Caenorhabditis elegans: one gene and its partner. The protein of the gene in region 2 interacts with the protein of the main gene of each other region in a pairwise test. Each region holds a gene or a part of one and is shown on either strand. Other genes may lie near its edges.

Evidence for each region.
Region 1: the proteins of mxl-3 (region 2) and gei-3 interact in a two-hybrid assay, tested with the Caenorhabditis elegans proteins (one large-scale study listed by BioGRID).

What each region holds. Positions count from the first base shown.
Region 1 is NC_003284.9:12,809,274-12,817,225, reverse strand, and holds the start of gei-3 (HMG box domain-containing protein), read left to right. Parts: upstream 1-3,586; coding exon 3,587-3,619; intron 3,620-4,654; coding exon 4,655-4,769; intron 4,770-5,219; coding exon 5,220-5,321; intron 5,322-5,371; coding exon 5,372-5,643; intron 5,644-5,689; coding exon 5,690-5,782; intron 5,783-5,926; coding exon 5,927-6,043; intron 6,044-6,112; coding exon 6,113-6,222; intron 6,223-6,427; coding exon 6,428-6,577; intron 6,578-6,819; coding exon 6,820-6,982; intron 6,983-7,723; coding exon 7,724-7,897; intron 7,898-7,943; coding exon 7,944-7,952.
Region 2 is NC_003284.9:13,347,107-13,353,437, forward strand, and holds mxl-3 (Protein mxl-3), read right to left. Parts: upstream 3,699-6,331; 5' UTR 3,685-3,698; coding exon 3,592-3,684; intron 3,541-3,591; coding exon 3,267-3,540; intron 3,215-3,266; coding exon 3,070-3,214; intron 3,015-3,069; coding exon 2,819-3,014; 3' UTR 2,533-2,818; downstream 1-2,532. Other genes in the region: ptr-24 (SSD domain-containing protein), read left to right, coding at 566-757. UniProt on the Caenorhabditis elegans protein: Transcription factor which regulates the expression of genes involved in lipid metabolism in response to nutrient availability. Binds to the E-box motif 5'-CACGTG-3'.

The sequences.
Region 1 (7,952 bases), 540 kb from region 2:
CGGCGTACAATAGAGATACAAGGAGAAACTCCAGGAAAAATGGGGGTGGAAAATGGATGGAAAAGCCAGAAAAAAAAGTGAGATGGCAAAAACGCACAATTTCTTGCGTTTTATTGTTCGTAGAACCGAGAAAAAAGTAGATAGACAGAAAAATAACCACTCTCGCCTCTCCTTCCTCCTACGTACTGTTAGTTTCTTATCCCTCAATTTCATTCAGTATCTCAAATCTACAGTACCCCCATGTCTTTTTTATTTTATCATAGTGCAACATTAAATCCATAGATTTGTGTGAGATGATTCATGTGAATCTTAAACCTGGATTAGATTTCAACAATTTTTAAAGATATTTCATCAATCCTTGGCTAACAAAGAAGACAGTTTGAACTTGTTATTTTTCTATTTCGTAAATTTACTAATTTTTCTAATATACAGAAAAAAAAAGATGGAAAAATTACAAGGTAAAAAGATAATTTACTATTATACTTTTACAAATTTACATTTATTTTTTAAAGTTGGAGTACGGTCAGTGGTGGAAATATTTAAAACCATGGCTGTGATGCTACAACGATCAAATATCACAAAAAAATTCAATTAACTTTTTTTAAATAAGAAATAAAAAAAAATTAGGGAAAGTTTTCATTTCTTGTCAAAAATGTAAGTTGGCGCCACTTTTTCAAAAAATCTAAAAGTGTCGCATGTTTGAACACCTACACTGTTTGAATATAAACATTTCAAACTTAATTAGATAAAAAAACGGGTAGAACTTTTTTTTGATGAATGACTTATTGACTTGCTATAAAAAAATTTTCCAAATTATTTTGAAACATTTTATTGTGATATTTGATCACTGACTTGTTTTTGATAATTTCCCCACTTGCTCCACCTTTTAAACTCCACATTTTAAATCTTTAAATTAGAAAAGTTTTTAGATCTAGAATCGCAATTATGTTTTCAAATTTATTCCAATAAATTTGTTTCATTGGAACCTTTTGTTTCAAAACCCTCCATTCCTGTCAAAATTATATTACTTACAAACAACAAAAGTGGTAACTATAAGACTATTATCGCTTCTATAGTACTGTCAATGTACTGAAAAATATCGAATTATAGCTATTTTCAATTTGCTCGCAATACTTGAACATTTAGTCATAGGCATCAACTTATTTCAAAATAACATTTATTTCAAAATAACTTAAAACTTAGTACATTACCTTAAACTGAAGTAAAATCCGGATTTGAGATCGAAAGTTCAAGTCACGCCCACTTCCTAATATAAGTATTTCAGGTTTTCATTTTTATAATGATAAATTTCTACCATTTTAGAAGCATGCAGTTTAGATCACTGCATTAAAAGAGCTAACATCAGAGTTATTCATTTTTCGATTAGCTTGTTCAATTACGGATTGAATGTTTCTTATCCGGGGATTGCACACAGAATTATTCTCGTCACTTTCTTTCTCACGAACTTTTATTCTGAGCTTTTCCTCTGTCTGCACACATACCCACATTGCCTAGACGATCATCTTGATCTAACTCCAACTTTCATTTCCAAGATTCTCCCCCACTTTTCTGAATTCGATTTCCCATCCATTTCCTTGAGATGAAACGAAACCGGTTCTCAAAATTTTCTTGTCATTTTCTGTGCGTTTTTGTCTATTCTTCTTCATCACGGAAACTATCCACTCTTGTTTGTATGATGTTGTTTTTTTTCGGTTCAAGGTTCTTACTATCTAATTGTAAGGATGATTCACTTTATCTCCACCGTCTCTAAAAGAGTTTCCGCGTTCGACCTTTTTCCCGGATTTTCCACCCAATTTGCATGCGAACCCTCCAGTGGGTGTGGTCTCGGAACCCAATTTCATTAAATGTTAGATCAACCCGAAAGACAACAAATTACGAAAAAAAAAGTGTCATGTAAAAATTGCCGTCGGGATCGTAGTCTCATTCGCCAACCGCTGAATGAACTGATGTTTTTGCCCGACAAAACATACAATTAGCCTTGATGACGGCAAAGTATTAGGTTAACCCAAAAAAAAAAGAAAACGAAGAATCAACAAATGTTGTCATCAGTGTACGCGTACGGGTCGAGTCAGGATCTAGATGGCGAATTCAGGTGATGGGAGGGGGTGTGGGTGACGACGTAAGCAGTTACGTAGTTTTTGTTCTAGTATTGTAAATACGCGTCGTTGGCAAAGGTAAATGATCCTTGACTATCAATTTTAGTCGCAACCGATTTTCTACAAAATCCTTCGGTAATTCTCAAAATAGCGAAAGCATCCCTAATCTGTGCGAAATTTACGCCATACATTATTTTTAGAACATCATGGAAAGATTTTTAGAGGATTAGAAAATATGGTATAAAGCTTACCTGAAATCAGCGACGACTTATTTCAGTGCCACCGTGATTTTTTTGTTGTAAAATTTATAGAACACTGAATATCGTTTTGATATCTCGGAACTGGAGTCTGACGCAGAAATTTTTACCAGCACCTTGCTTACCTACATTGTTATCTGAACGTGTCTAAAGTGTAAAAATTAAGGAATAAGAGAATATCTAGTGATATTTTCATTATTAAATAGAATTTTAAAACAATTATAAAATTTGGGTTCTTATGTATTTTAAGTAACCTAATATATATTTTCATCAAATCACAGCCTAAATAAAATTTTCCTATTGCTAACTGTTTATGTAGATGTCGAGTTTTAGCACATAACCACGGAAATTTCAAACGAAAAATATTAACAATTTCTGAACTAACATGTCCTCAAAATTTGGTAGGATTTATTCTTGATCAAAACTTTTTGTGGAAATATTGAAATATCACGTTTTTCAAATTTTGAACGTTGAATATCAATTATAATTCTAGGAAGTGCATCATCTTTTGTTATTTTGACATCACATTATGAAGCCATTGATTATGTTTTCAAATTTTTTTTTCGAAATCCTAATGGCATTTATCCCCTTATCAAATCACTCATCATTGGGTTGAGATTAGATCAATTCAAGTCACTTCCAGATCATCCGCCCACAATTTAGAAAATCATAAAACTCTCCGAAAATGTTGTTCTGTTCCATTACATTTCACTTCTTAGCATTTTCCTCTAGTTCTTGAGTCACTTAATCTTCAAGGCTTCATTTTTAAAGCTTTATTTTTTCTTTTTTTTTCTTCAAATTTTTTTCATCAGAATAATTATTCAAATCTTTTCAAACCTTTCGTTCTCTAGACATTCGCTTCGGCGGGAAACCTCACATTGTTCATTGAGCAGCCTGATTTCAGGTCCTGTTTAGGAGGACTGACCCACAATCTGTGATATGTGCAACTACTAGCAGGCAGTGCTCGGCAGCTTCCCATGCAGTACACGCGTCAGGTATTTTTTCCATGAGTCTTTTTGAAAATCAAGGTGAGTTTGAAAGTATTTTCTTTTTCTGCGTTTTGGAATGCTCTTTGCATCTGGAGTAGGGTGGAGTACATATTTTGGCTCCATAAAAATATTTAAATTTCAGTTGAACTATCTTGCATATTTTTTCAAATTGAAAAATATATATTATACAGGAAGTTTGCAAATCGTTCCTGAAATCATCTCGATGGAAAATCAAGAAGGCGGATCTCCGAAACAGGTACAGTATCATTGTTTTCTTCTAGTACGTTCTGCCAAACGAACCAACTAAAAACACAACTAGGTTGACCTGAAAAATTGTATCTGTATGGATTTTAGTTTCAAATTACCGTGTTTTATTTTTTTTGCGCAACTTTCTAGTATTACCTTTGACTTCTAATAATGTTAGTACTTCTAATTCTAGTGTTTTGAAAACCTCTATTTATATATGTCTCCAGCTTCTCGACGAGTCTACTATTATTCTAGTGACCGGAATAATTAGCAGGTTAACATTATTCATTCAGAAATATTACTAAAAAGTTCAAAAATTCGGAAGCTATACTAAAACATTTTTGAAAGGCTAATGGTCAAAAATCCTTATTATTTTCTAGTACTCCTCGATTGTGTTTTAAATCCTGTTATTTCAAGGTTTGAACCATTTGTTTGAGCTAAATTTGTTTGCAAAAATTTTATTCATGCTCCCCCCTAATTGAGTTTTTAACAATTTATTTTGATTAAAAAAAGGAATTATTTACCAAAAATTTATTTCAATTAACTTCCTTAAAGTTTTACTCCATAAAATTGAAGAAAATTTCGTAATTTTATAAATGAAACATTTCAACTCCTCAAGAATGGGTTTCGGTATTTGGGTATTTAATGCCTTTATTTTAAAATGTATCTTTGTATGTTTTGAAAAATAGAAACTTGTAGAATATTTTTATAGTTTGGGTTCAGGAAATAATCATTTCGAAGTCTAGCAGGAGAAAATCCATACCACGTTTATTTACAAAATGAAATTAATGAAATTGAGAACATTTAATAAGTACATATGTTTCATCACTTATATGTATAAAAATATTTGGTACTTATTGGTTTTGTTCCCCTAACTAACAAATATTTCTTATTTATTTACTTTAGGACATTGATCAGAAAAGAAAAAGAAACGTAATTTAAAACTGATCAGAAAGCTGATTAAAATCATTGGATAATCTTTTCTAACCAGACGAATGTATACTTTTTGACGTAAGATAGCGTTTTTATCTATCCGATTCTGCAGATTGCGGCCATTCCGTCATTGCTCACTCAACAATCGCTGCCATCAGCGGCAGCGACCGCGTTTCGAAGTCACACGTCAGAAAGCCAAGATGATCTGTCTCCCACAAACTCGTCACGTAAGTTCCAGAATATTTTTGTATTCTTTTGCCGTTCACGTGTAGTGCATCCTCCCAACTGCAACCTAAAATTATTCCCACCCGAATGATGATTGGCCATCTGCTTTGCTCTGTCAATAACGTTTATAACAAAAATTTTCGCTTTTTTCTTCATCTTTTTGTGTGGTTTACTTTGAATGGAATACCCTTCTCATAGTTTATGTAGTACAACTTTCTGTGTTCCATTTGGTTTTTGTTCCCTTTTTGAGCTCTCCTGCAACTCTCCGAAAAACGTATAAATTCTCGGTCTCGCATCCGGACTTTCGCTTGGATAGGTGTGCAATGGGCGCCTCTTTTTTGTCAGTGTAGTTTTTTTTTGTTGTACATAGTAGGGAATGTTTTTTGTTGCTTCTTTTTGATTTCATTCCCGCCATATTTTGCATTGAACATCACAACTCATAAGTGTTCCAGAAGCGCCAACACCAGCTGGCCCAATCGGCGCGTTCCGCTTCTCCGCATTTTTTAACCCTGATATTTTACGTAATCTAAATATTCAGAAGTCTTCTCCACCAAGTGAGACTAATTCAGTTTTTCGCATTTTCTCCTTACCAATTGATTTTCAGACCAACCTTCAGACGACGTTCCACCTCCACAGACATCGCAACCATCATCGGATACCACAGCTGAACCTTTACCTTCACCTGCAGCTACTCGTATTCACCATCCGATACCCGTACAATATAACACAGATCTAATAGCCGCAGCGACATCTGTTAACTCTAACGTTATTCTGGTAGACTGGTTGGGACATCGGGTTTTGGCACGAGTGCCTCCTGGTGTATATCAGCCGGGGTTTGTGAAAACTGCATATGGTAACCGCGATATAATTGTGCAGGTTAGTGGATTTTGAGCACATAAAGAATAAAATAAAGTATTTTCAGTTGGATGATGGTAGAGAAGCTAGATATGACTATGTAACAAGCGAGTTTAACTTGACAATGGTGATTGCCGATCAGGCTCCTAGTCTTTCCGACGTAAGTTTTAATTTTTTGGCGTATAAAGATAACCTCATTTTACTAACAAATAACACTAAAGAAATTTCAAAAATGAAATTTCAAGATACCTTTCCCCATCAGTTAAAATATATTCAAGAACATTTATTACTCTTCATATTTCAGTTAACAACACTTGTCTCAAACACAATTCTGGCAGTACGATTACCACTGGAGAAGTCAGAAACAATTTACAGAACGGCTGAACTTCAATCAAGCAACGGGAATCCGCCGAAATTTATGGTACTAGACTAGATTTCTTGCAAAAACTATGAACTTGCAAGTACATTAATTAATGCCAATTTTTTGCAGGTGAAAGTGACCAACGCAAATTACTCAAGTCTAGTGTCTCGGGCAAATTTGAGATTGCTCCGGCCGCCCTGGTATGAGGATTTAATAAATCCACAACGGGTTTCTAACAGGTAGGGTAAACTTTAAAGAAATATTTTTTGAGTTTATGTTTTCACTTTTTGAAGCTATCAGATAAAAATAGTTTTTGTTTTTGACTCTAATATTGATTAGTCGGACTTGATTTTTCAAATGATAACTGAAATGCAAATTACTCAGTTTTTAGAAAGCATTTCATTTTAAAGTTTTTAAGCAGCAGTATTCAATAAAATTTTCCAGTGTACCAACATCTTCAATGTCCTTACCTAGCACAAGCGAAGACGGCCGACAAAACACAAATTCGCAAGACAACGTTACTTTATTGATGGCTCTGCAACAACAGCAGCGGCGTTCACAGCAATTACAACATGTCATTAATATCACTCCCATGTAAGTTACTTGCAATTTTTGAAAATGTCAGATTTCTCATATACGCCGGTTTCATTATAACATTGTGTCATTTTATTCGAGTACACAATTATTGAGTGAACACAGCGACATATACCAACAAACTTAAATAGTATAAGTTTATCCTTTAAGTGCAGAAGATTGGCGTGGGAAAATTATGGGTTTGAAGGAAATAATAAATTTGTTCGTTTGTTTGTTGAGAATAATATTCAAACTGATTTCAGACCGACACCCATTTCAACAGGTCAGATTGTTACTCACGCATCACCGGCTGGTACGGTGATCGTGCCAGTGTTACCGTTACAACCTGGCACCTCAAATCAGGAATCGAGCTCAAAAACTGTTTCAATAGATTCTGACGAAGAGCTTCCAGAGTCGTCAAATCAGGTATTTTGGTCATAATTATTTGATAGGATAATTTTTCCCGATTTGTGACTATTAGGTATAGATTTGAAACTTGTATATCAATTATTAGTAATAACAATTTCAAAATTATTTCATTACTTTCCAATGGTGTATTTCAATTTTTGAAATTTTCATTTCCTTTTTCGTGAGGCTTTGTACCACTTAATGTTTTTTTTCTGATGGGTCTGATAGACTTTCTAAACTTTTTCCTCAAAATTTCTCACAACGGGAAATGTGCAATTAAAATATTTTCGAATTATGTTTATTATAGTTTCACTATAAATCGCATTTGTTCATAAAAAAAATAGTTACTGATCATTCAAGAAAATGACGTGCACTTTATACTTCTCCAAGAAAATTTAATCCTACCCTATTAAAAGACACGTTTACCTTACTAACGTTCTTTGATGAATCACGTCATCGTTTTTATATTATTGAGTGTGGGGTTTTTGAGAAATAAGATTTTTTCTCGTTAACAATTGATAAGTCAAATCCTTTTCTTCCCAGCTCCCATCTATTCATCAATCACTAGTAATCTTGATTCCACAAAAACTGCTAATAGTGTTAGTGTAATAACAACGACGCCTAGTCTCCTCCATTTACTCTTTATCCACTCGAAAAATAAAAAATAAGGCAATGAGTATTAGGTATTTCTATTGTCTGAAGCTTATTACGGTAATCCTTCTCGTAACTCCACCTCCTGAATCATCATTTTTTTTCCAGGACCAGTCGGGTGAACCATCACCAACCACCGTATCATCTGCTGCTTCACGGTCACTGTTTGTGAATCCATCGCAAGATTCCGGAATATTCGAGGCCGACGTAGATACGCCGCAGTCAAGTATGTTTCACAGTATCAACGCTCCAGTTTGTGCTACGAAAGCCATGTTAGATCAGGTAAGATTTATATGTTGTTATCATCAATGTTTTTTTTATTATTCAGCAACGTTTC
Region 2 (6,331 bases):
GAAGAATTCATAGCTTTTCCCATTTTTAGAGCCAATACGATTTACACCCCATAAATATGTCTTGAGGTTTTCTGAAAATTAGTCTCAATCATGATAAGAAATTTCTTAAACAATTGTTGAAAATGTTTAAATCCACAAAAATTGTTTAAATTATTATAATTATTTTTAAGAAAAATCGAACTTTCTGTCAGCCCCGCACATAACACATAGTAGAGACACATCGTAATAAATGAACTTTGCTGAAATCTGCAAAAATAACTAGTCATAAATTGCTCGCACATGTGCTACAACATCAGCAGCTGAGCAAGTGATTCTATATGCAGGATTCGATTCCAGGAACTAGACATGTGAAAATTACGATTACCAGAACTGATAAATCATGTCTGCTGAACTTAGTGACTTGGTTAGCCAAAGTGTGATGTTTCACTGTGAATGTTACATCACTGAAACACAAATTTGATGGAACTTATTGAAAACTGTTAACACGTAAAAAAACAGAAAAGTAGCAACAAGTTCACCAATCTCTTCATAATTTTTCAAGTCCTAAAAATTGTAATTTTTGCAGAGTGTCATATGCTCTATTGCGGTCTTCGTGCCGACTATGTTCTGCCATATAAACATCTTCGAATCAGTGGCTTTCACCAACAACGTGTTTTGTCTGTTGGGTATTGTCATCGCATTCTTCGTGCAAGTCATGCTCAACATGCTCCCCGACATGTTCACGGGTACCCATTGGTTTTGTTCCCCTCAATCTTAATTAATTTCTTCCTTAGTGTTTCATTGTAAACTTTTATTCCAAAAAATATCTGTAAGCTAAATGTCACCACATCTCATTTTCAACCATTCCTGTCACTTTTTTATCGACATTCTACGGTTTCTAGACCTTAATCTTTTCCAAATTGTGCCAAAACTTTGTTCTCTTCGGCGAAGAAGGGAAATTTTGTGGTATTTGTTTCGCATGTATTGTATTTGTTCGGATAATTTCAGTTATTAAATAAATTTTGTTTGAATTATAAAAAGCGTAACTGAATCATTTATTGTAGAAGTAACTGTGAAACTTATGCAGTTAACAACTTTTGACGTTTTTTTTTTTAACAATTGTCAATTCTTAGCAAACCCTGTTAATTTTAGGAATTGACAAAATGTCCATCTGCCAAAAATGTCTTATTGCCGCGCACCCTGGGAAAGATGCTAAAGTTTTTGATTCTCCCCGAACAATTCGGTCCTCATAAAACGTAAATTTTATATAATTTCTCAGAAGGCTTTTTTTCTTGAAAATAAGAACAACTGCAAAACTTGATAAATCTGTATCACAACATATTCGTCATATTTCATTGACAAACTCCCAGCGATCTTCGATATTCCTCCTTGAAGGTTCAATGTTGAGTTGTTCAGTGAACTGTCCTCGTTCTCTCAAGTGTGTTTTGAATTGAAACAACTATTTTTCCGTTGGCTTACGATGCGATTCTCGCATTTGATATTTTGAACCAATCATATCATCAAGTCATTTGATGACACGTGTGATGATATGCCTCGCATATTGTTTTACGAAATGGCCTCAGAGAACACACATTATAAAGAAAGAAAAGTGGAATAGAGCGGTTTTTTTTGGATACGTGATGAAATATGATTTGACTACAACAAAACGTTAGAGCACTGTACCGTGTACTTTTTGAGTTGATATCATGTTTTAGAGCATGCTTGTTTAGAATTGCAGGAGCAAAGTGCAATAAACGACCTATTTCAAAACAGCAAACCTATTCCAAAGATTTTTGGCTTTCAATGTAGTGCTATGTGTATTCAGATTTTTTTAGATCTACCAGGGGTGTGCGGCAAAAATGAAAATTTGCCGAGCTCTTTTTTCTAGTATATGCCAAACTCGGCAAATTCGGCAAATTTGCCGGAAAAGCTCGAAAAAATGTGATAATTTTTGATATTGTATGGGGCACCAAAAATGGTGAATTCTAAGCATACTTTTGATTTTTTCACAAGATCCGTGTGGTCTATCTGCGTACAAGTCTTGCTTACATGTTACTTAACTAGAAGTTTTGGAGCAAAATCAATGGTTCCGGTCAAATTATGTTAGTCGAATTTGTGATGTGTGTGGCAAATTTCAAAGTTTACCGATCTCGGCAGATTTGGCAAACCCACTTTTTGGAAATTTCTCTTGCTGGGCAATTTCGGCAAATTTGTCGCAGATCTCTGTTATGTATAATGGAAAATAGTTACTCTAATTTGTAAGTGGTAAAAAGCATTGTTTTCATCATTTCAATTCTATAAAAATGACCACTACTAAAATCCAAATCTTTTCCCCATGCAAAAGTCCAGAGGAATAGACATAAATATTTTTTCTGTAAAAATCCTTAAAGTATACGACTACTGACGCGTATATTGACCATTAAATAAAGTTGACAAGAAAAGTAACAACCTGTTTACTTTGCAGCAAAGAACTACGGTAGCTGAAAGACTTTCTATTGGGTGCCTTTATAAATTTTAATTTTTTGCAATGTGTTTTACTGGTGTTGAAAAAATGTTGATATAAATATTTATTATCAGTATTTATTATCGGCATTATCAATAAATAAGATATCATAACTGGAACAAATCAGTGAGTAAAAAAAACTGAAATAATATATTGTCAGATCAAGCAGGCAATTCTTAAAGTACACGTGAAACCCATGTATGTCCGGAGAAACCGAATGGATGTTTGGAATGTCCGAAGAAGGGTTCATGACGACCGAGTAAATGAGATCAAAAAATATTAGAGAATTCGAAGGGTGGGGGTATCTAAGAAATAAAAAAGCCTTTTTGAAGGTTTTTAGATTTTCACTGCCATTTGTTGATCAACCGGAGAAAATGCACAAGGATAAAAGCCAGAAGGTGGAGTACCAGGTGCAGAATCCAAAAGCGATGGGCTCACGCTTTGAAAGCTTCCGAGTAAAGCCAAGATGGCATCATTGTTAAGAGCAATAAGCCCATCTAATTGAGCTGGGTTTGTGGATTGAGCAATTATACTGAAAATACTTAATTGTTAAAATCAGATTCGGAACAATTTATTTGTTTACTTACTTTGCTTGTTGTGGGTATTGAGACAGCTGTGCAATGTTTTGCATCTGTGGGATAATTGGCATGGTGAGCTGCATTTGGCTTGAGCTAACAGCAAGAGCTGGAAGCCGAGAGGAAGATGGAGAACCGGAAGACTCGCGTTCGAGCACTGAAAATTAGAAATTGAGCTCATGAATCCACTAGATATCCATGTAACTTACGCCTTTCCTCAAGAAGCTCGTTTTTCCTTGTGAGATCTTCAATGGCTTTTCCTTGACTACTGAGCTTAGTTTGCATGACATGGATGAACTCAACTGCTCGTTTCAGGATCAGGGCTCGCGACGATTTCTCCCCATCAAGCAGTGGAATGGCATCCTTAAGAATGGTGAAGTGATCTTTGATATGGTCACGTCTTCTGCGTTCAAGTTCGTTGTGATGTGCACGACGGTCATCATCCATGGATGGAGAAGCCGACTTCGGGCTTGAAGAATCGTCCTGGAAAAAGAACAATTAGTAAAATAAGGGTACAACAGAAGTTTAACTTACATCGGAAGAATCCGAGTGATGGCGTTTGCGGAATTGTTTTTCCATTTTCATGGATGAAGAAAGCAAGTACATGTCTTCAACGATTGCGGACATGGTAGAGATGTTGACTGTAAATTTAATATATATAGCAATGAAATATCAATTTTAAGAGAAGGTTATATAAGAATACTGTAAGTGAAAATTATCACAAACAAAAACAAATACACAATTAAACAAAAAATATGTAAAAGAGCCATGCGACCATCTTCGAGGGTGTCGTTAACTGTGGTATGATCTGCAATGCGAGAAGGAAGATATAGGAAAAGGGGCGTTCTGTCTGACAGAAAGGGAGGAGTCGACGCGCCGCCTCCAACACGCGGTCAGCGTGTGTTCTTTGCACCTCAGCCACTGTGGGTGCTAGGGTGCCCGGAGAAGTGGCGCTCTTTGATATAAGCTCTGTAGCTCCGCCCATGTTTTGGAGCAGAAGGTTATAGCCTTCCCCCATTTTGTCAACCGATCACTGAAATCATGTGAATCTTGCGGGGATCTCGTAAGGGTAGCATGCGTTTGTGGGAAGGATCAAGATGAAGCATTCCTTGAGAGGGTACAAGGAACAAATGTTTTGGAAGAAATTCTGAGGATGTCAGCAAAGAAGCAATTTGATTGGGAGAAGCACAAATATGGCAACACGGGGATGTCAAAAAGTGCAAACACTCAAAGAATGCGTAGCTCAATTTTAATTTCGATGGTGACGGTCGGGTGCAACGCATCCTCTCATTCACATGCGCCTTCACGTGCCGTGTTCATTTCTTGACGACAAAAAATACCCGAAACTTTGTTTCCTTGGCTGCCTTGACTTAGTGTGCGTGCATCGTGATGTGTGCAACGCACAAAGACCTCTGATAACATTGAGTGAGCTCAAAATGTAGGTCAAATTACTTCCGAATGATGTATGGTGGTGTCAACAGTACCGTACACCTCTAGGAGTGAACAGACTCAGGCAAAAAACTTTGCAAACAAACAACTTGGTGTACTATGACCCCAAACTTGTTAGTTACTTTTGTTTTTTTTTCTTTCAGCAGTGTGTGGCCTAGGGGACTGTAGCTAAACGTTGTAAACAAATTAAACATGTGTTGTTGTTTTACAGAAAAAAATTTGAGTCAAAAGGCAAACTTCCTCTAAAATAAAAATGTATTAACGGCCAACATATATTCGAATTCCTTGTAGTCGTTGACTTTCAACCAAAAATAAATTCGTTCCTACAAAAAATCGCAGATTATCATACTAAGAAAGAAGAACATCAAAATATATGTTTCACTACAATTATAACAACAGATCATTTCAAATTTTCGCCCTACATAACGCTACATAACTCTGTAAGACTTGGAGTAATGTCAGATTCAATTCTTTAATAACTAAATTTTTAAAACTTTTTTGCAGTTTTAAAATCTCTTTTTTCACTGTCAATAGTCATGGTGGTGGTATGATAATTTTTTCCACATTTTCTAGCACATAGGTCTACTGAAAATGTATTTCATTTCTCTGGAATGATATTTTTAGACATCGAACGTTTGGGTTTTTCAGTTTAATTGCTCTATCACGTAGGTCATGCGACGCTCACTTAATGAACCCTGAATTGATTTTGATTTTAGACGACTGCGATAGAAATGTGATCGTACTTTGGGCTAACGTAGGGGGTGAATATGATTTCGCGCCAAGAACGATCAGATTTCACAATTCGGATGTTGTACAGTATCTACAGAATTTAGTGATATGGACTTTGATTGGAAATTTCAATAATATTATAGTTCAAATGAACTAGGGTCATTTGCACAAAGCGAGGGTGGGTGTCTTGCTCGTGCAAAAAATTAAAAGAAAAAAGCACGCTGACGATAAGCTTTACAAAATCCTTTGCTAATCTGTTGAAAATCACAACTATATATCAATAATCCGAAAAACAGCGTGGTGGCGGCTTGTTCGATCAAGTGTGTTATCTAAACGTTAACCACTAATCTCTCTGGATCAACTCAGATTTCTTCGAGGGAGTAGCTCTGGAAAGATAAAACCGCCGTGCTGTACATTACCAGGAATTTGGGAAAAAGATTTCAAATAGAGCTGGGTTTTCTTTTAGAAATCCTTGTTTTTCTTTGTTTTTTTTTCTTGAATCGAGAGAATGAATCAAATCTAAAATGAATGTAATCGGGTAAACACGGAATAAAAAATACAAAAGTTTAATATTTGAATATACCTTGGATTAACCACATTTAGGTTTCGTGAAACCGGCATTTAACCGCTACAATCAAGCAAAACCATTGCTAATTATGCATTGTACCACAAGTTAATCAAATACACATATGGATACTCTTAGTTTTGCCACCATTTGCAATTTCAGTACTGCTACTCTAGATACAGATATTTTATGGCAAAGCTCGTGAATGATTATAAATATTTTATTTTATAGTGCGGATGAATCAATCTTGACTGGATTTTTGAATTGTGTCTAAACCATGTGATTCTAATTGTTTCAATGCAATCTGAAAACTTATTTATTAAAGGCTATGAATCAAAGATTTGTTTTTTCGCCAAACTTTAGAGCGCAAAGAAATTGCATTTTTATACCAATTAAGTTAATATATTAATCTATTTGAAAGTGGTTTTCTAAGCTTTTCTTAATTTTTAAGCCAACTTATCCCCTATTTGGCAGTCATCTGATTGCTTGGAATTTACACTAATCCACACCCTCAACAGATTAAATGAGGGT